Linked DNA regions of Arabidopsis thaliana. The protein of the gene in region 2 interacts with the protein of the main gene of each other region in a pairwise test. Each region holds a gene or a part of one and is shown on either strand. Other genes may lie near its edges.

Region 1 (15,565 bases), about 15 Mb from region 2:
AAGAAGTTCTTGAGGCAACACAGCCTGTCGAGTTCCAGCGTTGCATGGTTCCATTATTCCAACAAATTGGTCGCTGTCTCACTAGCTCCCACTTTCAGGTTAGTCGTCGTGTTTGCAATGGTGTTTTTTTTTAATCCCCACATGGAAGGCTTATTATGCATATTACCTTAAATATGGAGATTTTGTTATTTAGCTCTTTTGACTCTGGTCTGATTTCTTCCCTGAAAAGAACTAGTGCTTCATCAAGTTTAGTGCAAATTGTTTTTTTTTGTTCTGTTTTTCTTTTTGCTTTGCCTCTTTCTCTTCATTTTTGCCACATGTTGATTTTCATTCATAAAATGATCTTGTTGGTACTAACTCTCATAAGTATGCGTTATATCTCATGCTTTTGATAGCTTCTACTCTGATTAAATCCTTGGATTCCTAGATCATCTTCATTTTCCATGATTCAGTTGTTTCAAAATTTATGGAGTGAATTAACTCTCTGAATGTATTGTTACTGTGCTTACTGATTTCTAGGAATCACACAAGTTTCCCGTTATGTCTTTGTGCAACAGCTCAAACTTTCCTAGAATTCTATGTGGGGTTTGCCTTATGCTCATATGTATATCTCATAAATCCGATACAGGTTGCAGAACGAGCACTGTTCTTGTGGAACAACGAGCACATTGTGGGTCTAATCGCGCAAAACCGAAGCGTGATCCTTCCAATCATATATCCCACACTGGAGAAGAACATCCAGTCTCACTGGAACCAAGCAGTTCATGGTCTAACCACAAATATCAAGAAAATGTTCATGGAAATGGATCCTGAACTGTTTGAAGAATGTCAGAGACAGTATGAAGAGAAACAAGCGAAATCCAAAGAAGTAGAAGAACAACGGCAATATACATGGAAGAGATTAGCAGAAGCAGCGGCGGAGCGAGATGGAGGAGGAGGAGAAGAAGATCATATGATCACTTCCTAGATCGATCAAAAAGGGTATAATTCTTTCACTTTTTTTTTTGTTTGTTCTCATTTTATCAAATGAGTTACTATATTAATTTTCTTATCAAACTTGGATTTGTTTGTTGTTTTGAGAATCATGGGTTCAAAATCTGATTGCTCAGAGAAGTAGAGAGAGAGAAGTGAGCCATTACTATCAGAGAATATGTCTTTAGTACTAAGAAATGTGTTTGTGATCTTCTGTCTAATTTTGTTCGTGGAAAGGCACTTTAAAATTTTGTAAAATTTTAATTATATATACTGTGGATGGATGTTTGTAGCTTGTGTTATTAGCCATCTCAAAATCCAATTTGGTTTTCTTGTTTTGATCCATTCTTACCCTACTTTTTGTGTTATTTGTATCAAAACTTTGAATTTGTATATAGGAGGAAACTAGTCTTCCAACTGATCCAGGACAATGTATTTGATTCCTCAATTTCCAAAAGATAAGAAGAGTTTTCATTTTAACTCTTAAGGTAAACTAAACACAATATCGTCTTCTTTATTATTAACCAAATTGGTTCAGAGCCATTGGACCGAAAACATAGACCGAGAGAATATACCAAGTTATATACAGTTAATTAACTGCGCCAATTCACCACGAGAAAACCTAAATTTTATTGAGGTAGCTTATTGCACGGCGGCGATTAGTTGTTTTACTTGTTACAAGAAAATCATTCCACGGCGGTGGAGAAAAAACAAAAGAGAGCGAGACAAAGAGAGACTACAATGGCTGTTCCAAGAGGAGGAAATGGTTTGAATGAAGAAGAAGATGTTGACGGAGAAAACGCTATCTTTGAGGAAAACGGTGTTGACTACGACACCGATTCCGAGCTTCCCTCTCACCTCCGTGACTTGGCCGCCGCTGCTCAGGCCGGAGATGTCGCCGCCTTGCGCACCGCCATCGGTACTTTCCTTACTTCTTCTCGTTGCTGCTTTTAACAAATTTCAATTTCAATTTCATCTTCAATTGCGTATTGCTTGATTAGCTGGTCAGACCAAAAAAGCCTCAAAATTTCCCACATTCATTGCAGAAGATTCCTCTAGTTTGATCTTCGTCTCATCCTTTTAAGCCACCTTAAGGGCTTCATTTTCCATTTGACTCACTGGTTTGCTCAATCTAGTTTAGGTTCACTTAGGAAGGATAAGAGAAACCTCTAGTTTTATGCCTATGTGTGTATTCATGTCTATCTTTGTTTTGTTTGTTGCTTGGGGCTGTGATTGATCTGACGTAAGATTTGCATACTCTTTTGAACTGATGAAAATTAGTTTAGTCTAGATCATCTTTCTACTGGTAGAAGTAATGGTATCAGATTTTGCATTGTGTGGATATGTCTTAATTTGTGCACTTTCTGCTGTTTTTGAGAAGATGAAATGTTTAAAGGCAATCATATTCCTTTTCTGATTTTGATAGACAATTTGAATGGGAGAGTCGATGAGCCACTCGAGGATAATGACTCGGCACTTCACTTGGCATGTCTATATGGTCACCTACCTTGTGTTCAGGTTGCTTTTTCTTTGTCATTTCCATCGACTCTGATAGCTAATGTATCTGTAAATTAATTTTTGTATTGATTTTCACTGCAGCTGCTCTTAGAAAGAGGAGCTGATATGGAAGTGAAAGATGAAGACGAAGCAATTCCTCTACATGATGCTTGTGCTGGAGGTAAAGTTTGTCATGGTCCTACCATTCTTTTGGTAATTCTGTCTCACGGCATGGTCACATTCTGTGGCTTATTGTTCTTTCTCTTTAACTTGGGCTCGCAGGATACTTGGAAATAGTACAGCTTCTTTTTAGCCGAGCTAGTAGTCCTGAATGTGTGAAGAGAATGATTGAAACAGCAGATATAGAAGGTGATACTGTAAGTATTCTCAATCTTCAATTGCCTCATTCCCTCTAGCTCTTGCTCTCTATAATGTAATTCATCCCAAAGTTTTTCTTGTTCACAGCCTCTGCATCACGCAGCAAGAGGTGAACATGTTGACGTGGTTAGGTTTTTGCTGGGTTCCGGGGCTTCACCAACGACACAAAACTCCTATGGGAAGGTGAAAAAAAACATTTGAAAGCAATTTCTATCTTTGGCTTTTGAAGTATGGTTAGCGATAATAACAAGGTTGTGATAATGCAGACACCAGGTGAATTAGCTGATTTAAACACTGATGCTAAGAGGATACTCGAAGAAGCGATAAACAACTCAATGATCTCCTAGTGATGCTGCAAATCTGCAGAGTTCATTGGCCAGTTTTGGCGACTCAGTGAAGTAGTAGCAAAATGTTAACTTTTTCTTAATCCTGTTTTTTGGTGGTTTCATATACAAAAGGTTTCAAATTTTGATACCTATGGAATTAAGAACTTCCGTGTCGGTTTTAATCATGAAATTATTATCAGATTTGAGTAGTACAAAATATACTAGTTTCTTTGTAAGAAAACTGGAATCAATTTTAAACATTTCAAACATCTATATTAACAAGAAGGAAATTGAGCGGTTTAATAAGTTGGTGGATTGAAGTGTGAATACTTGAGAAATAAAAGACTAAAACAGTAAAAAGTAATAAAATATGATCCACCAATGAGCAGCTTTGAACTTGATAGCAAGCAGAGCACTTATTCTGCCTCTTTCCTTTCTTTTTGGCTGTCTCCGGCGAGAAGAGATTTTCCGGGGGAAAATAGCAAAAGCTCGGTTTTAGTTTCTGTTTAGAAAGAGGATACAGAATAGTGATTACTAACATCTTCTCCGATGGCGGTTGCGCCGGCAAGAGCTCGTTCAGACTATGATTATCTCATCAAGCTTCTCCTCATCGGTGATAGCGGTAAGTCTCTGCCTTTCTATCTCTTAAGAAGTACTGAACAAACGAGGTTCAGAGACTATTGCATTTTTATCCGAGAATCTTCTCTCCTGCCTGTTTTGCGATCTGAATTAGGTTTATGATTTTGAACTTTTTTGCGTTTTTTGTTTTTCTTTCGTGTTTGATCAACAAAGTAGATGAGCTACACTCTCTTTTAATTGAAGTATCAACGTAGTTCCCTTTTGGAAGTTTTGGCTCAATTATAAGCAATATCTCAAACTTAGATTTTGTGAAGAACTAATGAATCAGTTTTATTAACTTGATTTTACAATGAGTTCAGATAGAGTTGCACAAATCATCATTTTTTTGTGTTAAATTTTCTTCTCTTCATTTCGTACTTATGTGTGTGTGTGTATACGCAGGTGTGGGAAAAAGTTGCTTGTTACTGCGTTTTTCGGATGATACTTTCACCACGAGTTTCATTACTACCATTGGGTATGTCTTTCTTTCTTTGACTTTGTATCTTGTCTTGTTAGATTGTTGAAAAGTTCGGTTTAAGTACGTTTCATGTTTTTCAGAATCGACTTCAAGATAAGAACAGTCGAACTTGATGGGAAGCGTATCAAATTGCAGATATGGGACACTGCTGGACAAGAACGTTTTAGAACTATAACCACAGGTTAAAACTTCTCTCTGCTCTATGTGAAGTGAAGATCACTCTTTATGTTTTGTGTATGAATCTGCTGATTCCTCTGTTAGATGATTACTCATCATTCTAAGTCTATTTGTTTACTTTCTTTCTTGTTAATAAAGTTCAGATGACATTTCTTTGTAACTCTTTTGGTCCATTTTTCTTTGCAGCATATTACAGAGGAGCGATGGGTATATTACTCGTCTATGATGTAACAGATGAGTCATCATTCAACAGTAGGTCTTCTGGCTTTTCTTTGTACCAGGAACTATATTCTTACTAGAACTTAAAAGTCACCTTTGTGTGGGAACTAACACAAATTGCTTCTCCAGACATTAGGAACTGGATGAAAAACATTGAGCAGCATGCGTCCGATAGTGTCAACAAGATATTGGTCGGTAACAAAGCCGACATGGACGAAAGCAAAAGGGTAATTTTGCTCTGTACTCTGTTCACAATCCTGACCATGTTTTGCCTACATTTCGTAGGATACTGATGCTGCATCTTATTCTACAGGCTGTCCCAACATCAAAAGGACAAGCTCTTGCTGATGAGTATGGAATCAAATTCTTTGAGACGGTGAGTGCGAAAATATATAATATGTTTGTCTCCTCATTCATTGTTTGTTTGAAGATTTTCATTTTCTTAAATATGATTGGAAACTGTTGCAGAGTGCAAAAACAAACCAGAATGTCGAGCAGGTTTTCCTTTCTATCGCTAAAGACATAAAACAAAGACTCACAGAAAGCGATACAAAAGCCGAGGTAAAGAAGCACATGGAATCTACTATTCGCTTGATACTCGGATTATGAAACTGTAAATATTGCTGAGGAAAATCAAATACTGTCTTTGTTGATTTGCAGCCCCAAGGGATCAAGATCACTAAACAAGATGCTAACAAAGCCTCATCGTCTTCTACAAATGAGAAATCAGCTTGCTGCAGTTATGTTTAGAAGTTCTCTGAACCTGTTTCTAATCTCTTACCGTCTTTAATCTTCTTCGCATCATTCAAGGGATCGTCCTATGTTCTTATTAGTAGGAGGATAGACTTAATTGATAGCTGTGTGTATTTTGCTATCTCGATGGCCAAACACTGTACTGGTAATGGTAGACAATGTTTAAGTGCTTAAACTTTGAATTAATGAAATGCAGATGTTATGTGTGTAAGCTACGGCTTCAAGGCTCGAAATTAGAGAGTTATCTCGTTCCTGTGTTTTGTGACAGATATAAAATTTCAGACTAAAAGTAATCACGAGATAATAAGAACATGAAGTGCCTTTTTTTCATATATTCTGGGGTTACAAACTTATTACAAAATCTCCGCCGAGGCAAGAAGAAGAAAGATCGAAGGAATTGATAAATTTACAGAGAAGTCAAGCTTCTTGAGAAATTTACACACAAAAGAGGCTACTTCCGACCCGATTTTAACAAGGTGACTCACGAGCTGCAACACCGGCCTTGATGAGCTCGGTAATCCGGTTTTCTCTTCACAGAGCTTGATCCTTCTTCCAAAAGACTAGGTACCTCCATTATCTGTTTCATTTTGCAACTCTCCTATTATTTATTTTCCTCAGTTTCGACCGGTTTTGAAAGTGAAAAGGGATCATCAAGATTCTTTCTTACCTTCAAAGCTAGCTCTTCGAAGCATCCGTTCACGTTTTCTCGGGTTCTTGCGCTACATTCATGAAACAAACAATTGAGGTCTTTCGCTAGAGCCATTCCTTCTTCCCGGCTAACCTTCCTTTCTGATTCCTGCAATGACAACTATCAGTGAAACCGATCTCAAGTTGTTTGACTACAAGTGTTACTACTACTGCTACTCACTCTATCAACTTTGTTGCCAACGAGCATCTTAATGCAGTCATGGTTAGTCGAATATAGCTCAATCTCTTTAGCCCAAATATCTGCCAAGTTCAAAAATGTCTCTCTTTTCGTGACATCATAAACTGCACCATGACCAAGAAAATCCGGAGAGAGTATTAATACAAGTCTTGAGAACTTATTACGACAACAGCTACTGACAATTATATGATCTCATATATCATTACCGAGAATGATTCCTTGGGAGCCTCTGAAATAAGAACTTGTCAATGTTCTGAACTTTTCTTGTCCAGCTACACAACAATCACAAACAAGAAATCACATGGACCATGAGTTTTGTAGTAACCAACTACACACGTTCCAAAAACTCGAATTGCTCTTATTGCTTTTTTACCTGTGTCCCAGATTGTAAGTTTCAGCCTTTTCCCTCTTACTTTCATCTGTTTGATCTTAAAGTCAACACCTACAATGTTATACTGATCAGACTCAAGCAGGCTTCAAATTCAGATAAGCATCAAGAGTTATGTTTTCCGAGTTTATTTTCAAACAGAAAATCATAAAGAAAACTTCAAGTTCTCAAACTTCAACTTCATTTGAATTTTGACCAGACAGTGGTCTAGCTCACAAACAATAAGCTAGCCTTCAATGCAAAAAAAAATCATGTCGACAAAGAGATATTTGAAGTTTGACCAGTCAAGATTCTAGCTCTAAGACTGTTAAGAACGAACGATAAATTACCAATGGTGGGAGCAAGATCTTCGACAGAGCTGGAAATGAAGCTGAGAAGCAAGCTGCTTTTACCAACACCAGAATCTCCAATCAACAAGATCTTGAAAGATAGATCATACCCACTTTGCCCAGAAGAAGATCCCATTTTCTTCTACAATCTCTCACTCTATCTAATACTACAGTAAAGAGATCAAATCAAATTCAACTTAGATAAACAAACAAACAAAAGAAGTGATTTTTATGTTATCTTGTAAAAGAATGAATCGAAAAAAGAAGAGAGAAAACTTTGCCTCTGCAGAGAAATCTATGATTCATACAACAAATTAAGAAACTTTATTCTTTACAGAGCAGAAAACAAATAATGAAAAACGTTAATGAGAATTGTTGAACAAATACTGTCAAAAACATTAAAGAACTCTTTACTGCTTCTTCTCCTTTCTCCGACATTTCGCTTCACGACACGTATCTGTTTCTGTTTCAACGTTTCTTCCAAAGTCCGTCTTGTTTTGTATCCACGTGTTTGTTGCTCCCTCCCAAATTTTTTTTTATTTTTTCCTAGCTTTTTATTATAAAACCAAATATTTCATGCAATCAAAGCACTACTGTTACGTTTGCAATTATCTTTTGCGGTTTGCGGCGATTCAGACCCAAAAAAACACAAAGGAAAACTAGTTTTCTTAGTGAAGCTCTCATGAAAGATAAGTTGTTATAAAGAGTGTTCACAAGTTCACTTGTATGGATTACAAGTTACTATCAGTTTTGGAACAAGTACATGAACAAAGGCTTTTTTTACACTTTAAAACATAACCAAAAAAAAAAAAAACTCTTTCTGTTGCAAAATTAACCATTCAAATCAATTACTCTCCAAAGTGTTTTTTTGTTTTGTTTACACATATGTAAAGAGACGACCGTAGTTATCAAAAGCATTTTGGTCACAACAAAGTAAGCTTAACAATCAATCAGCAAGTGAAATCAAATGATTACAAGTGAATAAAGAGACAAAGAGACCTCGTTTCAAGCCTTGTGACGCAATTATTAAACAGTAGCAGCAAGAACTTTCACCAATTCACATTCTTTAGGCACTGTAAGCACATGATCAAACCATTCAACTTCCCAAAACTTTCGCAACTTTTGCTTCTTTCAAGCGAAATCTCCGCACACCAAATCTTCTTCTTATAGACGAAACTAGTCAAACCATAAAGCAAATCCTCGTCCCACAAAACCGCTAACTTTCCTAAGCCCTAATAGAAGCACCAAGAGGAAACGTAAGTTGTCCTAAGCCCTCCAAATATCTCCACCTGCTTGCCTCAGTGTCATACCATATAACCGTTCTGCTATAAACAGAGTACAAAATATCATCTATCTCACAATAAGAATCTGAACGCATATACTGATCCAAATCCAACCATATACCTTCCTTGGGATTGTAAGCAACAACCCCCTCACTGTCAGTCACTACATGGATCTTTCCATCAATACAAATGCTTTTGGGGTGAAGAAAGTTGTATTTTCTGTCGCTGTAAGGGATGGGCTCACTAACCCAAACTTCCGTTTTCGTGTCGAACACCTCAAAGAAAGAAGAACCTAAATGCATATCGCTGTAACATCCTGCTACATATATCTTTTCACCAAGGACGCTAGCAGTAAGTGACGAATGTTCCACCGGCAAGATTGGAGCCTTGCGCCGCCTGTGAGACCGACAATCTAGAATCGAGCTTTGAACCTGGCGCCACGTGTGAGACCGGCAATCCAGAATCGAGACGTTAGAGGAGGGCCCGTGGATGTAGTAGATATCAGAACCAACCACCACGAGACTCGAAAAGCGCGGTTTATGAAAACTAGGAATGGGGACTGTTGCCAAAACATACCCACTTGACTTCTTTTCAGTGGTGTCATTGGATAGGGTTTGATCTGGCTTCCGACACAGGGTGAACCAGCGATAACCAGGACAGCACCGTAAGCACACATAGAGACAACGCTCGGTGTGACCCAAGAATGACCTGCTGGCCTTGTAAAGCTCCGGTGAAGCTAGGAGGGATCGAAAGCTCTTGGAAACGAGTGAGAGAGTCGGATAGTACAATCTTGGGACGCGTGCGATGATGTCCAATAGCAAATCATAGGGATTGACTGATTTGGGGACAGCTTCTTCTTCTTTGTCCTAGTCGTAGTCTTCCTCTTCCTCTTCTTTTCCAGGGACGACATTGATTTCTTACTCTTCAAAAGAAGAAGAAGAAGAAGACAACACGTTAGGGCTTTTCTGTGACTTTTGATTATTTATATTTTTGCCTTTTAATAATTAAACCAAATACTTCATGCAATCAAGAAAAGGAGAATTAGTTTTTTACTTATTTATTGAAGCTCTCAAGATCTGTATACAACATACTTACAACATAGAATTCTTTTTTATCTCTACAAAAAAAAACATAAAACTCTGTACTCAATTCTCTGTCTATGATTTGTTGTTCTGTGGAAATACTTTCTTGATGAACTCAAGAAAACGTTGGGAGTAGAATGTTGGATCAACGGCTGAGATCGAAAGAGAATCAAAGTGAAGAGATTTATAAGCATGTTCAATCTTCTTGGTCATGTTGTACTCTTGTAAGATGTCTATAATGCCAAGGTAGAGTACGACGTCGCAGCAGTCATGTAAAATCTGCTTCTCTTTATCTTCTCTTCCCGGTATCAGCTCTGCTCTTGCCGGCATGTTCACTCCTTGCTGTATCTGCAGCCTGCATTTTATAGAGATTCTTTTCAAAAACCGAACTGGACTAAGTTTCAATCAGTTCCATGTCGTCTGGATCATATGTATTCCATTTATTTGTCATCAGCATTTGTTAAGTCTTAGTTTTTCATTTTTCCAACCAGGTGAGAGTTAGTTACCTGGCTGTTCCAGGAAGAAGGAGATCTACTTCTTCATCACCAACAGCGGATGCTCGTAATCTGCTGCCTCTGATGTGAGGGCCAGTTACAGTATTTTCACTTCCCCGAGGAACGAGAACCAATCCTTCGTGGTAAGACAGCATGTCGTCCTCGATTGTATCTGCTTTCATCATCATCAGTAGAAGAAAAATAGTATGAATCATTTTACAGGTGATGAAAAAAAGAATCTCACCATCTTCAGCTACACTTTCCAGAGCATCAGTTGTTATACTTTGAGAACGGACCAATTGGGATCTTAAGTGCTGTGGAGCTCGATGATGCACACCGAGCAAAAGACTGTAATCCATTATGTTCTGTGCTTCCAAGAACTTGCTATCGATCTCTAGTTGCCTGTTTACACAGCAAGAAAAGAAATTTTAAACTGCGGAATATGGATTGATAAATGTATATATCTTACAAGAAGGTCCTGGAGAGAGTAATACCTCAGTAAACCTTCCCGCCAAGAAGTCTCCAAGAAGAAGCTGTAGTTCAGATCTAAATCTTTAAGTATCGTGTTCTCGTCTATCTCGACTTTGTCTGCAGAGCGTCCCAAGGACGAACCTTTAAGGTCAAATCTCCGATGGATTCTTAGATCTGTAAAGAACATGTTACCCATCACCACAAAACGGAACTGCAATGGAAGAGAAATTTTCAAACATAGTTAGTTTTAAGATTGATTTGGATTTCCAAATGTTGCTCTAATGTTAGAGTTCTACTCTACATCATATTTAGAGGCAGCAATGTCGGCAACTTCAAAGCTAATGATAATAAAAAATCAAAATCAGAATCTTGAGGTATTTTGGTTCAGGACCTTTTGACCACTTGATGGTTTGATTCTGTGAAGGCCAAAGAATTTAGTAATGAGGGTGTTCTCATATGTCTTCACATGATGATGGTAATCTGGAAGCATCCTCAGAAGAACCTACACAGTAAATCTGGAAGCTCAATGGGCAGACGGACAAAGAGTCTACGCAAAGACATGGAGAAAACTAAGAAGATAATGTGAAAACAGAGATGGTGGATATGTAAGTAGTCACAAACCTTGACTTCAGATTTCCTGAGTGTTTTGATCATGAACCGATCATCCTGCGACAGGAAGAAGACGCTGCCGCTCTTCCCTGGAGAAGAAAGTTCTCTTAAAGTATCATTTCCACAAATGGACATCATATAATCAGCTGCATCGATCTTGAACATCTCCCTCAGGTTTCTACAAGGTTTAGCAATGAATATAAACACCAAGGACACAACTACTATAGTTAACATACTACTAAGAAAAAAGTATGCAGTACACAAGTTCTAACCTGAATACCATTGGGCAATAGTCCTTCCATTTAAAATCCTCCGAGTGGTGCGGAGGAGTCATCGTGGAGCCAGCTCGAGGAAAAGTCATCCAAAAACTAGCCCGAGGTCCAAAGTCTGCTGTCCGAACTTGTCGTCTTTGTATTGGCGTAATTTTCCCCACTGTGTATCTAACGTTTGAACTAGTTCAGTAACAACAATATTCGGTGATGAATTTAGAGCTAAACACGCTCACAGGGCACAGGTTTAGAAGGAGCAAGCATACCTGATTCCAAGCTGCAAACTGAGCATCAGATCATAACTCCGGTGACCTTTAATAACAACTTCTCCAGGCTTCTTAGCTTCTTTAACAAGTCTTTTGTGTTTCCTTTTTGCTCTTCTGGATGTGCGCGAAAACCCGTTGTTTACCACAAGCTCACTGATCAGAACACCTTGCATATATTCCCTCTCCAAGATTGGTATGTTAGCTTTATACTGCACACTACTTCCGCTATCTAAAACTGCCGTAGATAAATCCGAGTAACCATGTCCAATCACTTTCTCAATAGATACTTCAAGACTCCAACGTCTTTCTAAAGAAACCCTTCCATTGCGGGACTGTTCTAAGTTTATTAAGCTCCCTTTTGAGAGCTTATTACGGTTCACACCAACTCTAAGGTTTTCCATATTAACCGAGGAAGCAACTTGGTTCTGTCTTCTCATATCTGGCAAAACACCTCTCTTTCTAAGAGCATTTAAATAAAACTCTTGCACTACCGGAACTCTGGTTCCCGCTGAATAAAACGAGCCTTTACCGTCTTTCAAACCCCGTGTCCATGTCCCAACATAGCAACCTCCATCGCTCCACGTATATACACCAACACCATGCATCATTCCATTCAACCAACTTCCTTCATAGGAATCTCCGGTAACCCAAGTAAGTGTACCCTTTCCTGACATTTTCCCGCCTTTCATATCCCCGAGATAGACATTTTTATTAGCCCAAGTATACTTCCCTGGTCCTTCTCCCAATCCCTGAATCCAAGAACCTTCAAAGACATCTCCATTAGGGTAAACCTGATATCCGAGCCCATGTTTCAAATTAAGCCGCCATCTTCCTTTATACGTTAACTTGTTAGCATCCACATAGGTCCCTGAACCGTGCATATAACCGCCTGAAAATTCACCATCATAAGATGCCCCGGAAGCCCATCTCATATTTCCAATTCCATGTCTCATCCCACGCCTCCATTCTCCATCGTAAACACACCCATCTGACCATATGTACTTCCCTGGTCCCTCGGGTACATTTCCAAGCAAAGAACCACTGTAGGATTCGCCATCGGGGAGAACCAGCTCCCTAACTCTGAACCTAGCATCCTCAGAAGTTTCGGAAACTTCTCCACTGTTTAGCGCCGATAGGATCTCTTTCTTAGTAAGTGCATCAACAGATTTAGTTCTTTCAGCAAAAGAAACTGCTCCTCGTACGTCAAGGCCAGACATGTAAATCTCCAAAGAAGCTAAAGCAGAAACGCTCAGACAAACCGCAGAGCAAAAGGCTTCACAGCCTTAAGGAGAACATTCTTTCAACAAAACATGAAGCTACCTCCAGTAAACTGGTGAAACAGAATGTGCTCAGCTATTCAACGAAGAAAGCAGATGCAAGAATCAGGTTCCAAGTCACGATGTATGAATCTAGAATCAGAATCAGAAAGAATAAAAAAGAGTAACTAACTTTTGATGCATGCAATAATCTAAAACTAATGAGGAAAACATGAAAATAGATAAATGGTCACAAAAGCAAAGACTTGCTCAAATCTCTATCAAACAAGAAAATTAAGACACGCATCTGATTCTTGGTCCCACTTGAAAGAACAAGAACTTCTAAATTTCACAGAGAGAGGCAGAGAATGAGAGAGGAGCAAACAAAAATCCCTTTTTCCTATCAAAAAGAAAGCCTTTTATGGAAGAAGACGAGTCTACAATCATAAAGCCTTTATATAAAAAAAAATCTAAACTTTTATATTGAATTCACATTTAAAAAGAAGAGATTCCTCCACGTCTCCCAAATAAAGGCAGAGTATGCCAAATTTACCAAACCAAAAAGCTAGAAAGAATCCTACTTTTTAGGAATTGAGCAAATGAAAAACAAAAAATGTTCATAACAAAGTTTCAATGTTTCAATCTGAATTTGAAATTCATAATGAAACCCCATCAGAGCTCTATATAAGTACATATCAGAGTCGTGTCGATGGAAACAAAAGTTAAAAACTTTGATTAACACAATCAACAAGCAACTCCATTTCAATCTTCAATCTTCAACAAAGATAAAACGAAAGCAACAAAAACCGAAGATCCCGGTTAAAGACTTCTTCAATCCAAAGAGAACCAAAAACAGAGAAATGCCCGAATTCGAGAATGAAACCGGATCCAAAAACCAAATCAAGCTCACTAAATAAGGAAACTGGGGAAGTAAAGGAGATTCACAAACCGTACGGACAAGCTCAAAGCTCTTCACTTTCTTCTTCTTTCTTCGTCTTCTTCAGCCTCAGTGTTGGTCAAATCTTTCTAAAAGAGACGACTGGACCAAATCCCGAAAGCTAAGCGCCACAATAACAGCCTTCTTATTTCAGCTTCCATAAAAATTCAAGCTTTTTACTTTACACCAAAATGACGGATATAACCTTTGCATTAATTAATGCCTCTTTTATTCTTTTATTTTGGGTATTTTCTGATCTAACCCCACTTATTACTCTTACAAGAGTGGTTTTGTTTATATACATATCTATTTAGAAAAGTTTTGTAGCTGGTGAAATAATCAAAGATTTAATAATTATCAATACTCTGATCTTTCTATTATCCGAGTGGTTTGAGATATTTTTTCAAATATAAGTTTAGTTGTTTAATCGATGAAATATAATATTCAACAAAAAATTGATGTGTGTTTAGAAGGTAGAGATGTTGACCTGCTTGGCCGGTGAAGGGAAACATTACATTGTGTTTTTCTTACACTAATCCACGTGCTTCCCAATATTTTTAAGTCAACTTCTGCTCACCAATTTGAGTTTGAATATACTACAAGTTGACCCAACAAATTTGAGTTTGAAAGAAAAAGAAAAGAAGTTGATTACATATTTTTATTGTTCGAGAAAATCTTTTGAAATCAGTCTAAATCGGCATTACATGCCTTACTCTTAATTGAATAACGAGATCTGGGGGTTAGCTATAAAGTAGTATTAATTATGAGGGAATTAATTTAATCGTATTCATTAGAAAGTAGTATAAATATTCAATACTGTTAACGAAGGAATGTTCTAATGATATGTAGTCATTGTGATGTGCTATATGATTAAACACTTTTACATATCTTTTTCGGTGCATTATTATAATGATGCTGGGATTAGCTAGTGATCAAAAAAGTTAATTATTATTTTTGTATTCAGGGAAACGTACTAACCAAAAAAAAAGGAAGCTTAATTAACAATAGAAAAAGGACTTTATAATGACAAAAAAAAGTATAGAAAAAAGTATGATATCCCCATGCTACGTACAACTTACGAATTACATATGAGACGCGAGAAAAACCAGAAGAATAGAAATAGAATCGATCTACCGTCTTATGAAAATGTCTTAAAATAGAGTATAAATCTGTAATATAGGGCATTTATAGCCACAACTTTTATTTTCTCATTTCTATTTTTTTTAAAACAAAACTTATCTTTTCCCATTATTAGTAGACTTAGACATCAATCGAGAATGATATACAGTATATTAGTAAGAAAAATGATCATATCATCATATTTTCGTTTTAGAATCTGAGTAATTTCACAATATCTACCTAGCTATCCAAGTACCTTAAGTTTTGCATATTATCTAAAATCAAACAACTACAGCCACCGATCCGAGTAGTGGGGTTTGGCTACCACTTACTAAAAGAAAATTCCATTATATTGTCGTTTTCTCTTTCTTGTTATATATATATATATATATTCCCAGTCCCATTACTTTAATAATTTATTAATTTTGCGAGACCAAAAAACGTTCTTCATCATCAATCATTTTTTTTTAGTTGTATTTTAACGTGGAGAGTCTATTCAGCGAATTAACGATCGAGAGAAGCATATAGTATGGAATGATATCCGATGGAGATAAAATTTTAAGTATTGGCCAATCATAAATCGATACTTCAATCCGTATACCTCAAGAAAACGTCCAAAGAGAAAGTCTCGATCTCGATTTCTATTCCTTTTAAAGTACGCCATACCTTCTCATACTTGTTTTGGTACTAGGGCAATATTCTCCCTCTTACTTGGATATAAATCATCTCACCACCGTATGTAAAAAGAGAAAAATAAA
Region 2 (16,046 bases):
TATTATGGCTATTGCGCTTGCTAATGGAGGAGTAAGCTATTTTCTTAACTCTTACTTTGTACTTGTTTTGATATCTTTTTTTAGTTTTTGTTCTTGATAATGTTTGTATCAGGGAAAACCTCCTGATTGGCAAGACTTTGTTGGTATTATCACTCTGCTTGTGATTAACTCCACCATCAGTTTCATTGAGGAGAACAATGCAGGAAACGCTGCAGCTGCTCTCATGGCCCGTCTAGCCCCGAAAGCAAAGGTTCTATATGCTTATTTTCAATTGTTTCTTATAACCGAGTTTTTTTATGTTTTTTGTTTGTTTATGTGTTTTGCTTTGTTGGATACTCTCTTTAACTCATTTGGTTGACCATTTGATTTTTCCTTATGTTAAATGTATATGTGAAGGTTCTTCGAGATGGAAGGTGGGGTGAGCAGGATGCTGCGATTCTCGTTCCCGGTGATATAATCAGCATCAAGCTTGGGGATATCGTCCCAGCTGATGCACGCCTTCTCGAGGGTGATCCCCTTAAGATCGATCAGGTTTGGAAACTGATCATCAGTATTCATTAGTGTCAATCTTAGTCACCTCGGATGTCTAGAGAATAGTGTCTGATTCTCTTAAGCTTTTGTTACTTATCAAATTATAGTTATTTTGCTGAAGCTTTTAAGAAATTGCTGTGTAGTCTGCTCTTACTGGTGAATCTCTACCAGTAACCAAAAGTTCTGGAGATGGTGTCTATTCCGGTTCTACATGCAAACAAGGAGAGATCGAAGCAGTTGTTATCGCAACTGGCGTCCATACCTTTTTTGGAAAGGCTGCTCACCTTGTTGATACGACAAACCAAATTGGTCATTTCCAACAGGTATGTGTTATTTCATTCCCTTTACTAGCGATTCTTGTTTAACACACCCACATTCTCATTTTTGAACTCGCTTCAACTATCATGGACTTTGTTCAACTGGAACAAACCAATATTATTTTTGAATTTATTCAAACATGTGCACAGGTTTTAACTGCAATTGGGAACTTTTGCATCTGCTCTATTGCTGTGGGGATGCTCATTGAGATTGTCGTGATGTACCCTATTCAACACCGAGCATACCGCCCTGGGATTGATAACCTTCTTGTGCTTCTCATTGGTGGAATTCCAATTGCCATGCCTACAGTTCTGTCTGTGACCATGGCAATTGGCTCCCACAGACTATCTCAGCAGGGAGCTATCACTAAGAGAATGACGGCGATTGAGGAAATGGCTGGCATGGACGTTCTTTGCAGTGACAAGACGGGCACTTTGACATTGAATAAACTTACTGTTGACAAAAATCTGATTGAAGTTTTCATGAAAGGAGTGGATGCAGATACTGTTGTCCTGATGGCAGCTCGAGCCTCCAGACTAGAGAACCAAGATGCTATAGATGCTGCTATAGTCGGGATGCTGGCAGATCCTAAAGATGTATTTGGTTTCACTGAACTGCATTCTAAGATTTATTAAGCTTCCTTTGTTTTCTGTTTATTTCTTTGGCGCTTATGGTCAACCGTTTTCTGTAGGCACGAGCTGGTATCCAGGAGGTTCACTTTCTTCCTTTCAATCCTACTGATAAGAGAACGGCTCTGACATATATTGACAATGAGGGTAACACACATAGAGTGAGCAAAGGTGCTCCTGAGCAAGTAAGCTCTTTATCGCCAGTTGTGCCTATATTTTACTAATTTTCAATTTTTAGTTAGAGCATAGTCTGAACAGTTACCTTCTGTGAAAATGTTTCAGATCTTAAATCTTGCACACAATAAATCAGAGATTGAGCGGAGAGTTCATGCTGTTATTGATAAGTTCGCTGAAAGGGGTCTGCGATCTCTTGCTGTGGCGTACCAGGTCAATTGGTGATCTACTTTCCAAGATTCTTAAGATATTGAGTCACAGCAATTTGATATAAAGTTCAAGGTTGAAAAGGTTTTGTACTTTTGCAGGATGTTCCTGAAGGGAGGAAGGATAGTGCTGGAGGTCCTTGGCAATTTGTGGGTCTCATGCCTCTTTTTGATCCGCCTAGGCATGACAGTGCTGAGACGATAAGAAGGGCTTTAAATCTTGGTGTGAGTGTTAAAATGATCACAGGTGAAAAACATTTCGTAGCATTTAGTGAATTTCCATTTCATATTGATATTTCAGTCTGATCCTTATAGCATTTATCCTTGTCAAGTTGTCATTTTGACATTTCTTGTCAAGATAAAATTTATCCTTGCTAAAGGCTTGAGGCTTCTCTATAGGGGATCAACTGGCTATAGGAAAAGAGACTGGGCGCCGTTTGGGGATGGGAACCAACATGTACCCCTCATCCGCTTTACTTGGACAGAACAAGGATGAGTCGATAGTTGCTTTACCTGTCGATGAGCTCATAGAGAAAGCTGATGGCTTTGCGGGTGTCTTCCCTGGTAAATTCATGTACTTCTGAAACTAGTTCCAGCATCTATAAACAGAATTTCTCACTTATGCCCAAGGGTTTTCTGCAGAGCATAAATATGAGATAGTGAAGCGATTACAAGCCAGGAAACATATATGTGGAATGACGGGTGATGGTGTAAATGATGCTCCTGCTCTTAAAAAGGCTGACATAGGCATTGCAGTTGCTGATGCCACTGATGCAGCTCGTAGCGCATCGGATATTGTTCTTACTGAACCTGGTCTTAGCGTTATCATCAGTGCTGTTTTGACCAGTCGTGCTATCTTCCAGAGAATGAAAAATTATACTGTGAGTGCCATATTTCTTTGAAATCTCAAATCATTGAGGCCTCATGACAATTTCCTTTTAACTTTTGTTGGTTTTCATGTTTTACTGGACAGATCTACGCAGTCTCCATCACAATCCGTATTGTTGTATGTTACGATTCAGTTTTTTGGGTTTTCCTACTCATTTCTCTTTTACTGTTACCACTAATATTCTGACTGCTTTGTACACTTTTACCGATTCAGCTGGGCTTTATGCTTCTGGCTCTCATATGGCAGTTTGACTTCCCACCTTTCATGGTCCTTATCATTGCCATTCTTAATGATGGTTCATTTCTTATTTCCTCTTTTTCTCGATCATAATTAGACTTTCAGAGTTTTCTATTAGTTCCTCTAGACTCTGATATACCAATGAACTCTTGTGGAATTGACGTTTAGGTACGATCATGACAATATCAAAGGACAGGGTGAAACCTTCCCCTCTTCCAGATAGCTGGAAGCTTTCTGAGATTTTTGCTACCGGTGTTGTCTTTGGCAGTTACATGGCCATGATGACCGTTATATTTTTCTGGGTTTCATACAAAACCGATTTCTTCCCGGTACATTTTCTCTCCTCTCCGTCACTTGTGTTTATCTCGTTGGTTTTATTTGCTTTGTTAATTCTTTCACTAACAGCTAATCTCAGCTTTTCTTACTTGAAACTTCAGAGAACTTTTGGAGTTGCGACACTTGAGAAAACTGCTCATGATGATTTCCGAAAGCTTGCCTCAGCCATATACCTGCAAGTCAGTATTATCAGTCAGGCACTTATCTTTGTGACCCGATCGCGAAGCTGGTCTTTTGTGGAACGTCCCGGGATATTTCTTATGATTGCCTTTATCCTCGCTCAGTTGGTAATTCCGGAAGTTTGTTAACTGTGTGATCAGTACACAATGAGAACCTCAAAAGTTATGAGCTTTGGGTCTAATTATATGAATTTTTGTTTTGCTTCCAAAACAGGTGGCTACTCTAATTGCAGTCTATGCAAATTGGAGCTTTGCTGCGATAGAAGGAATAGGTTGGGGATGGGCCGGGGTCATTTGGCTCTATAACATCATATTCTACATCCCCCTTGATTTCATCAAATTCTTCATCCGCTACGCTCTTAGTGGCAGAGCCTGGGATCTTGTTATCGAACAAAGGGTATGTTATTAGGAACACAAATAGCTTTTGTGCCACTTTATACATTAAAGTTTCTTATCGGGTTTCTTGCATTTTCATAGGTTGCGTTCACAAGGCAAAAAGATTTTGGGAAAGAACAAAGAGAGCTGCAATGGGCTCACGCACAAAGAACGCTCCATGGTCTACAAGCACCAGATACTAAGATGTTCACAGATCGAACCCATGTCAGTGAACTTAACCAAATGGCTGAAGAAGCCAAGAGGAGAGCTGAAATTGCTAGGTAAAGTAACTCAAAGCCAAATCTTCTCCAGCTTTTTGAACATAACAAAAGAACATTTTTTCATCGTCTTCTCTCTGTCTACTGCTCTCTTCTTTATAGGTTGCGTGAACTTCACACGCTCAAGGGCCATGTTGAATCAGTGGTGAGACTCAAAGGACTCGACATAGAAACCATTCAACAAGCTTACACTGTCTGAGAAAGTGAGTGCAAGCTGATTTCAGTTGGGTCATGAAGGTTGTGTCTGTAGTTAATACATACATATTGCATATAAATATCGAATCCTCGTAGCCTTCTTTTAGCGGTTTGTTATGTTCTGTTCTGTTGTGGTGATGAAAGAAGAAACAGAAACTTCGTACGGAGGTTGAAATTAGCAACAAAAAACTTATTTTACAATACATGTCTACAAAGATGAAGTGATTTTCTTCTTCAATTAATCTATAAAAGTACAACAAGGTTGATTTCGGGTGAAGAAAAACTACGGAGATTGAAGTAGAATACCAAAAATATATAAGTTTCCAGATCAGACAGAGTTCTTGTCTTGTAGCTGCTGTTGCTTGGTTTCTTCTTCATTGGTCTCAATCTCAGTGATGTCTTCATCATTACCTCCTTTGTATCTATACCATCTAGCCATCAACAAGAAGTAAGCCATGTTAACAACCATGAGTCCTGTGAGCATGAAGTAGAAGTAATCCAATTTCGCTTTGTTCAGATCCTCAGCTAACCAATTCCCTGAAGGTGAATGCGCGGTTGTTCGATGAACAGTTGATATCAAGAAGCTAGCGAGGTAGCTCGAAACCCCTGCACCGACATAAAAGATAGAACCCGCGAAGCTCTTCATGTTTTCAGGAAACTGCTTGTAGTAAAACTCCATTTGTCCAATGGCAGCAAAAGCTTCTGCTATGCCTGCAAGTGTAAGCTGCGGAATCAGCCACAACGCTGACATTGATGAGATTTCTCCTGTCCGAGGCGCCATCCCGAGTGTCGGTTTGGTCAATGCAAAGTTTCTTCTCCTTTCCTCTATAAACCCGGAAACTAATAAACTCATTATCGCAAATGTAAACCCAGCTCCGATTCTTTGTAAGAGTGATATACCGGTTTCTAACCCGGTCACTCTTCTGAGCGACGGGACAAGTACACGGTCGTAGAATATGATGAAAACTGTCATGCCAGTCATCAAGAACACTACATAGGTGGCCGCAGGAATCCTGAAGCCACCAGAACCTAATCGTCGGTCGCTCTGGAGCGCTTGGAAGACCGGATAAGTCATTTGTATAGTTATTGCAAGGTAGTATATCGTGGATGCAAACCAGATTGGAATCACTCTTACAATGCATTTCACTTCTTCCACTTGCTGCAACGTGCATAGTTTCCATGGATCGGAAGCCGTTCCATCGGAGTTCAACTTCTCCTCGGGGGTCATAATTGCTGCTTTGTCTAGAAATCTGGCAACATAATAAACAAACATTTTTCAGCAAAACAAAAGCCAGAAACATAAAGCAAGAGAACCAAGAATAAGTAGATATCAATTTACCTGAACTGGTCGGTGTATTTTAGAGTAGTATTTGCATAGTTAGACGGGATATGGTTGTAAAGATTGACCCAAGGCTGCTTAACCGGCTTCAAACCTCGTTTCTTGATCGCGGCTGCTATAACACGAGCAATACCAGCCAATGGACTACCCGAGGCTTTCACTTTTACATACAATCTATCGCCAGCAAAGAAAATCACACACGCCAAGAACATAAGAGCCACCGGAATGATCAAACCGATTGTCCAACTCACATTTGACTGGATATACACAACTGCTGTGAGCGAGATGATCTGCGCGAACGTGAAAGTGAAGAAATACCAGTTGAAGAAACTGTTGATCCCTTTCTTTCCTGATTCGGATTTGGGGTTGAACTGATCAGCACCAAACGCTAAATTACACGGTCTGATACCACCAGCGCCTACCACAAGAAAGCCTAAACCCATGAGCAGAAACAGTATCTGTCCCACACTTGGCCCTTCGCACGAGATTTTGTTTCCGCAAGCAACGGGGTGCAACGACGGAATTGCAGCAGTAAGTAGTATCACAAACGATCCCTACAGAGATGAAAAATGGTTTAGAAAACATTGGCGAAAACGAAACCGGAGTCATGAAAGATTATATATAAAAGTAGTACCAGAAAACAAGCGATGACAGCGACACTGAGAGTCTTGTAGCGACCAAAGTAAGTGTCGCAAAGAAAGGCAGCAATAAAAGTCCCGAAATTGATTGTACCACTAAAGGCATTGATGATAGTTGCAGCTGTGTAGCTCTTAAGGTTGAATACAGAAGTTAGGTACACAAGAAGGTTTGATAATGTCCCTATGATCCCAAGCTTCTCAAATGTCTCATTACCTACAATAGCAAATTAATGATAAGAAATTAAGAATACAGTTACAGTTTTTTTTTTACATTTAATGTACAAGGAAACACACAAATCAAAGTTTGGACTTCCAATGTTCTGACTTTGGTTCACATGAAACTTTATAACTGTTTTGTAACTCCCATAAACTAATTTTGTCTTATCCAGAAATTCACAAAAATCTTATCTACTTTTTTCAGAAACTTAACTGCATGATTTAAAGTCTCTGTTTTTTGTGTTAAAGATTTCAAAAGTCTCTTTGAAAATAAAATGAAAACAATTGTAAAAAATATAATTTCCATTAGACAGATCTGTAAGATTATCTGGGTTTCATTGTTTCAACGAAATCTCAGTTTTAAAACCAATTTCACTTCGAAATCTCAGAGAAAGAACTCCAAATTCGAGATTTTTGACAGAGTCAAGTCAAAGAGAAGAGAAAAGAAACGAAATTTAAAAACATCACGGACAAAATGTTACACTTCCCTAAAATCCGACAAAGCACCCCAAAAGAAAAAAATGATGTCTGAATTAGACACAAACAAGTAAAAAGGAGCGTTACCAATGATAAAAGGCATGACTTTCCATCCTCTATAAACGATTTTTCTCTGCTCTTCCTCGAAAGAATCGACCACATCGGTGTTAGTCGTCGTAGTAGATGGCTCAACCTCAAGAGGCTTTCTCTCCATAGTATCAACCTGTGTGTAATGATTGGTGTTGTTGTTGTTATGATTCTTATCTCTTCTGTCTCTATGGTTAAGAATGACTCTGCTCTTCATGTCAAGCTTCTCCGCTCAATTATATATAGTGGTGGAATCAAACGAGTGGATTTTGTCGGAATCTGGGCAAAGGGGGAAAAATGAAAATAAAGAATGGTGTGAATTTGGCTGTGAAAGATAGAGACATCTGTCTCTGAGTGACTCATTTTCATTTATTACTTTCCCTTTAACGTTTCTTTTTAATGTGTGGGCTGAGTTAGCTGGATTTAGGTAGGCCCATTTTTACACTAGTAAGTCAATATATTGTTTCAAAAGTCAATTATTTTATATATTAGTTTTTTGTTTAATGAGATATGTATGTTTACATTACACCAAGTTTATGATTTCAGATTTCTGTAGTCAAATTTTTCGATCGAATTATTATATTATATATGTCAAACCTATCAATTTAATAATTTTAGGTTTCGGTTGCGTAAAAGAAAAACTAGGTTTCGTTTTTTTTTTCTCTCTAAAATCTACTAGCATTTATAATTTACGAATAAAGTCAACATACTTTCTAATTTATGTTCTTTGTAGCTATTTCAAAAAAAATCCCTTCTTTTATGGGGGAATTTCAAAAATATCCAAGTAATATGTTTTTTAAATAACCGCATATATTGTATATTTTCAATTATGTATAACGATATATAAGATTTTTTATAAAAAAAAAATTTAAATACAAGATTTTCTAAATGAATTATAAGATTTTATAAATATGAATGATTATTCAACCACTATAAGCCGTCACAGACATTAAATATATTATTTTTGAAATATGTATAATTGAAAATGGACAACACATATGGTCAATTTTAAAATATATATATATATATATATATATATACACATAGTAAAAATGGTATATTTCTAAAAAAATTCTAGTTTTATGGATAAAGAATTTAAAATTTTATAAGTATCAAAAACTAAACAAGAATAATGAATAATTAGTTTTAATGTAAGTTATGCATGTAATTTACTTTTAATATATATGATCCACATGCATGTGCAGTGATAATAATTATAAGTCGGTAGGTGTCTGTATAAAAGATCTAGAGCCAGCCTCTCTTTTTCCCAGCTAATCCTAATTAAAAACACATTTCTCTTGTATATATAAATATCTATAAAGTGTATTGTTCTATGTTTACCCTACTCCCGTAAATCAAAAATATATATATATATGAATGTCTTCTCAAATAACTTTTGCCGATCCCAAAAACATCGAACTACCCGAAATACACATTTGGCAAGACATCATTTTGTGCTATCAGTCGACTTTATGCTTTTGAACTAATCTTAAAGGTAGATCACGCCCGTCTAGAGGACATATACGTTTGTTACAATATGAATGCATATTGCCATCTTCTCTTACAATTTAATGTTGGAGACATTTGGCTACTGACTAAGACCCAGTTGACCGACCAAATTGCACATTTGTACGTATACCTGCATGGGGGTGGGGGTAAAGCGATAGAGGTTGCTTTGGATATTTGGTTTCCAAAATTACCAATGGGGTAGAAAAAAGACTATAAATTAAAATAAATAATTAATTACTTATCGGTTCATAAATTTCATAAGATTCCGTTCATAAATGGATGATTACATATGTAAAGACAAGAGGCAAAGGGTCCACTTTAGTTACTTCACATTTATTGAGGTTATTATTGATGTGATTTCGAAGTTTGGCATATATGATGAGTATTGCAGTCCACAGAATTTGCTAGTTTTAATCAAAAACCTAAACACACACATGCTTAGGGGAAATGATACCAAAAAAACACCTAGCATTTGCCAAAACAATATCTAACTAGCTATCTCATTGGATATTTACGCTAGAGTTTTTACATATAATATTTGCCATCTTAACACCATCCTAATTCACAGTTAGAAACACCGTTCAGTTTCTGTTTCAGTAAAAAAAAATCATCAAATCAAAACCCTAATTGAAGCAAAATCCAACTTCTATATATTTCATCCCTTTTTCCTCCACCGATCTCTCTCAGTTTCTCGCCAGTCTAAGAACCAAGATCTAATAAGCTTTGGTAAAATCATGTGGTAAAAACATTTGGCTATGTTTTTGTTTCATTGTTTTTTTCTGTTTCCATCGCAAATATATAGAGGAAGCTTTCCTGTTCCAATAATTTCTAGAATAACTTTCTCTTTAATTGTCGTGTCTTTTTCTTTCTAATTAATTACTGCGTCTAGTCCAGAAGTTTTGATTTGAGTTGCTCTTGTTTGTTGGAGCTCATAATTAATAATTACTCTCACTTTTTCGTAATATATGATCCGATAGGTGAAACCTTAGAAGATCGTCCAGCTAAACATGTTGTGTCCTCTTTCGAATTCTCGAAAGATTCCTCTAAATTATTCAATAGTATGTTTCACTGAGTGATTTTTATTCGCTCATAATTGTCTATAATCTATTATAATACTTGCTAGGCATAGACGATGACAAGTCATTGTTGTTGACAAAGCTGTGGACCCAGGATCTTATCTACACAACATTTGTTTCACTAAATTGATTCTCATATCCTCTTAAGTCTTTATTTGAGTTCAAGATAAACAAAAAAAAAAAAGATAAACAAATCTTCCTGATAAGCAGAATATCTAGATGAATACTTAGTATTTAAAATTATAGTTTTCATACGTGTAGATTGTTGTGCAAGATGAATCGTATACATTATAAAGTCCTAAACTCCGTTATTAAGCCGACCCAAAATAAAGTCATAGATATAACCAGTGTTTTCTTCCTTTTCAATTAGGTTTTGACTTGAAAGATCCCAACTCCAAATTATTTTGTAGTACAGTGTTCACACTAAACATTTGCTTCTTCTTTTTTTAATGCACACAAATATACATTACTTTAAACTAAAAAAAAAATAACAATTCAAGGAAGACTTCATGGCATTGCAGACCAAAAAGAACCTGGCTGCACATGCATGTAAGAAAATTAATATGGACTTCAGACCAAGAAACTGATGTTCTTAAAAATTATACAAAGATAGTTCTGGATTAGGGATTCTATTTTTATTTTTGCATGCTTCCAGTTCATTTCTCATTTAAATTCAACTACATAAATACCAGTTATTTTTCCTTATAAGTGGAGTCTACATATTTAAATAAATAAAAAGCAATGCCCAATTCTATTTAGAATTCCAACAAACTGGCCTGAACAAGAAATTTATTTGTAAGAGAGAAAAAAAGGGTGTACGATGGGAAGCATTGCAAAAAGTTATAATTTAGCAGACTTTTCAATAGGTTTATACAATAATATATAATGATATTTTTCTAATCTTTGAAAACAACACTGTTATACTAATATATGTACGTGTTGGATATACGTGGACCACAAAAACACATGTTTTATGGTGTACGTATGTATACAGTGTACACACGTGTTTTTTATTGTGAAAATTATGAGAGAGTTATTGTAATAAAATAGTACTCCATAATCCATATACCTACCAACTAAGTCCGTATCATATGTGAAAAGTGAACAATGGTTTAGGAGGTGATGACTAAATAGTATGGTCCGGTTCGGTTAAATAACTCAAATATGAACTCGTAATAATTTGGACTGGTTAGATTTTGGCATCCTTTTATAATTACGTTTGCTAAAGAATGTACGTTTCGGTGTAATATATGCATGAAAAAAGAAAAACAAAAACTAAATCGAGAAAGAATTCAGTTCAGTTGGGTTGTCATTATACGAAGAAACTAATCAATACAAGCAAACAAGAAAAAAAAACATATATGAAAATAGAAGAGGTGGTTATGATGATGATGATGATGATGATGATGATGATGTATGTCCATATTACCATATACTTCCTACTTTTTGGGGTTTGACGCGGTTTATTTGGAAATTAGTGATTTGATCAAGTTGTAGAAAGCAACACAACTATCTACACAAGTCAACCTTCTCATGCTAATTATCCACGTCACGGGTTTGAACCTTTTAGTCTAATTCACGCGGTCAATCATTGGATAGTGTGGACTGTGGATAGTGGACGATGGTTAGTGGATGCACTAGATGGTTAGTGGATGCACTAACCAAAATTGAAAACTGAACCGAACCCAAAAACTAAACGATATTCCAATCCTTGTCAATCATTTAAAAGCGTAGGCCACGTTTTTTTTTGTTTTTTTTTATATGCCTATTTTTATATTTTATGAGTTGGACCGGCAAGCCTGAAGAAATCAGTGGGATGAAGAGAAATTTACTTTATATATTAACATTTTAAACATTTATAAACTTGGTGTCAAATTCTGAATGAAGAAAATCTCAATGGAATGGAACTGTATGGTTTTTGTCTAATCTCTTAAGATATTTAAAGTCTTAACTACGTGTCTATTCGTTATATTGGATGTTTGTGTTTTTTTGGCGGTTTAATTTTCATTGTTGAATTGGACTACAACACTAAATTTGGTCCAACACTTGACTTATAGTTTACATATAATTGACTTTCCATGTTCACATCATAAATATGAGCCATTCGATTTCAATATCGCTTTTGTATGTATAAATGAATAAAAATATAGCTCAACCTTACTTTACGAGGTCGTGTAGCAAACAAAAAACAAGTTGCCTTTTTCATTATTGGGCCGGCAAGTGCTACATGCACTCTCCGCGTACAATTACGTTCTTAATTCTCACGTTTTTATTTGTTGCAAAGTTAAATATTTGTTTGTTGCAAATATAACTGTATTATATAGTCCATAAAATTTGTATATAATATTCATTCCGAGAATTTTTTTTCATGAGAAAAAAAGACACTAATATTAATATATATAGTGCAAGATATATTTACATACACCGCTCTCCCATATTGGTGAATTTGTCCAAAAAAGATTTTACATGAATATGTTCAGGGATTGTTTGTCCCATTCTGTTTTACGACTTTTTTTTTATTTCTTTTTTTTTGCGATACATTGTTTTCGGCATAAATTATGGTGTTTCAATCATATACAACACCCACATCTTTACCACACAATTCCATTTAAAATAAACGTTTTAATTTTCGCGAAAAGTAACAATTATTATCGGTATAGTTATGTCATTGAAATACATACAAAAAGCACATAATACCTACAAATCCGTTTCTAATCAATATTACTGCGTAAAGCTTAAAAGCTTTTATCATTATTTTATTTTAAGTTTCTTCAAAAGGTACGCATTATAGACTACATTGGTCAAGAAATCAATAATTTCGCATTACAAAAATGTGTTGTAAGAGATCAACACGCAGGCAGGCACTAGTACTAGTTTAAATTGTATACTATGTCAAACACGATATTTAATTCTTTACTGCGTCAGGCGAAACATGTTCAAAATGTGTTATACATCGGAATTTTTAAGCGTCTTCAAATTCAAAGAGTAATATATGTCGACGAAGACCTAAGTAAATAAGTGGATATAATCTGATTGGTAAGTCTCAGTCACTATATATGTGCTAAAGTTTATAAGTTTTTAGTGCTGCAAATGGTATAATTTTGGGCGGATGAGGTGGTTGAGCCATATTTTTCATCGTTCACACCCGACTAGATTAATTAGTGGACGGTTCGAGCACTCTTTTTTTTTTTTTTTTGTTATTTGCGTGTTTTATTTTTATTTTTTAACACGATAGTTACATGTATTTTTATGGATTATTTTTATGTATTTTAAGATATTGATAAGCTGAGAAAGGTTGGTCGCAGCTCTGTTATTTATTAGTTGACACCAATGGAAAATACTGATACGATATTAGGAGGATTTTCTTCTGCGTAGTTTTTTTTCGAACTTGGTTGGGTTTTAAATTGATTGCTCGCCGGATATTTTACTTGTCTATTCACAGTCTTCAAAAACTATAATTACTATGTATATATTTCACATTTTCTTATTTTTCAACTTATAATTTTGCATATGAGCTTTAGAATAAATAAAACAAATTTAATGATGTAGATGTTTTCCTTTGATACTTGGACAAGAGACTTTTAAGAAGTTTAATTTAATTTGTTCTAGAATGTAGTTTAGGACCAATGTCCTGGAAACAAAATTATGGTGCCGCCATTTTCCGCAAAGTGATAATTATTGAGTATTGACCCAAATAAAATTATTAACCGTTATAAAATAAAAAATACTACAGTCTAAACAACATTAGACCATACAAGTTTAAATATTTTATCAAACGGCAATTTCAACCTAATGGGGACGTCCCACAATGAATCACCACAATTTCTCAATATCAACTTGCTCGATGTAAAAAAGAAAAGATTGTTCGATGTAGGCTTGTCTACAAATTATATATACTCAGGAACTTAGAATTTGAAACAGTACTATTTTCATTAGATTAATTATATATAATTTTATATTGTCAAAGTGGCAATACCGATCAACTATTTCCAATAGATTAATTATATATAATTTTTAGGACAGAATTTTTTTAAAATATTCCTGTCATGATTTCCACAAATAAGAAATACAATTATAGATAGTTGATCGGTATCTTTTTAATTTAATATTAAATTATATTAAAAAAAACAAATATATAATTTAATATTAAATTCAAAAATAAATACCGATCAACTATCTATAATGGTATGATCTGTTGGTGTTTGTAGAAATCATGATAGGAATATTTTAAAAAAATATATTCTAAAACTTTCACATGTAAGCATTTTCAAAGGCCCAAAATTAAATAGATAAAAATGTTGAATGGTAATTTTTTTTCGTTCACCAAGTGTTATTAGCTCAATTGGTAAAGATTTTAGGCGAAGATTAGAGGTCGTCGGTTCGAGTGACACTTGTAACGAAACTAATATTACATGATGTGATTTCAGGTTTAAAGAAATTACGGATTTTGGCCCAAAACCATCGACACACTTGTTAGTGCGTATATTTTTTAAAACTAAATGTAACACCACCCAAGTTTTTTAAAGTATATTAAAGCCCAACCGGTATGGGCTTTGTTACCGAGTTTCACGTACATGTTCACGTAAGAGCATCCACATTGGTTGGTTTCTAATATGAGTTTCTTCAAATTGTTTATTAGTTAATTTTGATTGTTTTGTAGTTTAGAGTTTTTTGTAATTTTTATGGTTCAATGGTGAAATCTTCAAGAGGGTTTTTAAAAAAAAAAAAAAATTTAGAAAACAAAATGGTCAAGTACATAAGCTAATAGATGAAACTCATGAAATAAAACTCATTACTCGATTGTAACCAAAATGGTTAAGTTCAGACCAAACACTCACATTCATCTATTAGTCGATATGGTTGAGTTCAGACCAAACACACACATTCATCTATTAATCAATTTGGTTAAGTTCAGACCAAACACACACATTCAGTCATTAATGGATATGGTTAAGTTCAGACCAAACTCATTAATCGATAAAACTCACAACAATACATACATTTAAAGCATTTGGTCTCTTCCACAATTGATGTTGGCACCATTTCTATTCTTCCCAGTCCTGCAAAATGAAGCAAATCATGACATTAACAGATGAAACAAAACCGTAAACTACAAACATTCAGACCAAACACAAATACTCATCTCATTAATCCATAAACTGAAAACATTGAGACAAACATTCACCAAACACAAATACTCATCTCATTAATCCATAAACTGAAAACATTCAGACCAAACACAAACATTCAGACCAAACATTCAGTCTCAAAGTTATTACACATATACTAGAAGCCGAAATACTAGAAGCTAAAACTTAAAGCCGAAATATTAGAAGGTGAAGTACATTCTGACCAAACATGCAACATTCAGATAGAAACTAAAACTTAAGACAACATATTATTTATTAGCCTGTTCTTAAGCGCCATCTATATGTCAGATAAAGGCTCTGTTTTGCCACAACCATGTTTTTTGAGCAAAAATTTCAGAAAACTCGAAGTGCATTAAAAGAGATATACTTGAGACAGAGCTGGATTCTACCTCTTGGTAAGAGCTCATGAGATAGCCACATGATAGAAGCTCCTGGTGTTACAAAGAATTGAACAATATAACCACAAGATCCGGTTTGAAGTTGACTTGGTGAACAATCTCATCGTCGATCATCATTCCGGCGGTTGTATATTGAGTATATGTGGTTGCTCTCCCGATTTCATGATCAAAACGTTGGATCAAACAAATCAAGCTGAATCGCCTTTGGTATCGTCGACGGAGAAACCAAACAAAAGAGAAAGCTGAGAAAAAATTCATTTTGTTTAAAACAAACAATCTATCACAATTAGCCACGTATGCGTTTCTAATGAGTTTCCAAAAACCTAATTTTAGGAACGTTCCTAAAATTCTTGTTGAATTTTTATTTAATTTAGGCCCATTATTCTCTTAGAGACCAACTAAGAAACCCACTAAAAACTATCGATGAACTTGGTCTAAGTCTTTTTGTCTTACGTATAGATAAAAAAATTGATATGTATTGATGCAATCTGAAAAAAGATATCCATGAACCATGATGCTTTAAAAAAAGAGTTTTCTGCAAAGAAAACATTGTTTGGATTAGTCCGAGGAAACCATGAAATTTGCATAGATTATTTGCTGACTTCACTCAAGTTTTTGCTTCCTCCAATTTTTTCTTCTATGCGTTTAAGTAAACCAGTCAGATCCAATGGTAAACAATAAAATGGTCGACAGTATAAATGGGCTTTTAAGCAGAGTCTTTGGGTTTAGAAATCAGTATCTTAGTTTTGCTTCGCTTTATATGTTTTTCTATGTGATTGGTATGGGTTTGAAGGTACAAAGTACAAAAC

Evidence for each region.
Region 1: the proteins of GTR1 (region 2) and RABC2b interact in a protein complementation assay, tested with the Arabidopsis thaliana proteins (one large-scale study listed by BioGRID).

The regions. Positions count from the first base shown.
Region 1 is NC_003074.8:3,030,965-3,046,529, forward strand, and holds RABC2b (RAB GTPase homolog C2B), read right to left. Parts: upstream 7,539-15,565; 5' UTR 7,158-7,538; coding exon 7,022-7,157; intron 6,747-7,021; coding exon 6,678-6,746; intron 6,577-6,677; coding exon 6,511-6,576; intron 6,409-6,510; coding exon 6,287-6,408; intron 6,215-6,286; coding exon 6,086-6,214; coding exon of another isoform or gene 6,020-6,085; exon of another isoform or gene 5,996-6,019; coding exon 5,900-5,995; 3' UTR 5,647-5,899; downstream 1-5,646. Other genes in the region: ATB' BETA (Protein phosphatase 2A regulatory B subunit family protein), read left to right, coding at 1-98, 629-967; AT3G09890 (Ankyrin repeat family protein), read left to right, coding at 1,714-1,891, 2,399-2,490, 2,572-2,650, 2,752-2,846, 2,935-3,030, 3,114-3,194; RABE1e (RAB GTPase homolog E1E), read left to right, coding at 3,723-3,795, 4,194-4,266, 4,350-4,450, 4,633-4,698, 4,795-4,892, 4,979-5,041, 5,134-5,226, 5,326-5,415; PIP5K9 (phosphatidyl inositol monophosphate 5 kinase), read right to left, coding at 9,462-9,741, 9,893-10,052, 10,125-10,282, 10,375-10,562, 10,743-10,853, 10,973-11,138, 11,233-11,400, 11,496-12,712. UniProt on the Arabidopsis thaliana protein: Intracellular vesicle trafficking and protein transport.
Region 2 is NC_003074.8:17,693,451-17,709,496, forward strand, and holds GTR1 (Major facilitator superfamily protein), read right to left. Parts: upstream 7,474-16,046; 5' UTR 7,322-7,473; coding exon 7,105-7,321; intron 6,539-7,104; coding exon 6,321-6,538; intron 6,241-6,320; coding exon 5,687-6,240; intron 5,598-5,686; coding exon 4,676-5,597; 3' UTR 4,492-4,675; downstream 1-4,491. Other genes in the region: HA4 (H[+]-ATPase 4), read left to right, coding at 1-31, 113-250, 397-531, 675-854, 999-1,445, 1,541-1,663, 1,761-1,865, 1,961-2,105 and 9 more; AT3G47965 (uncharacterized protein), read right to left, coding at 14,646-14,749, 15,229-15,259.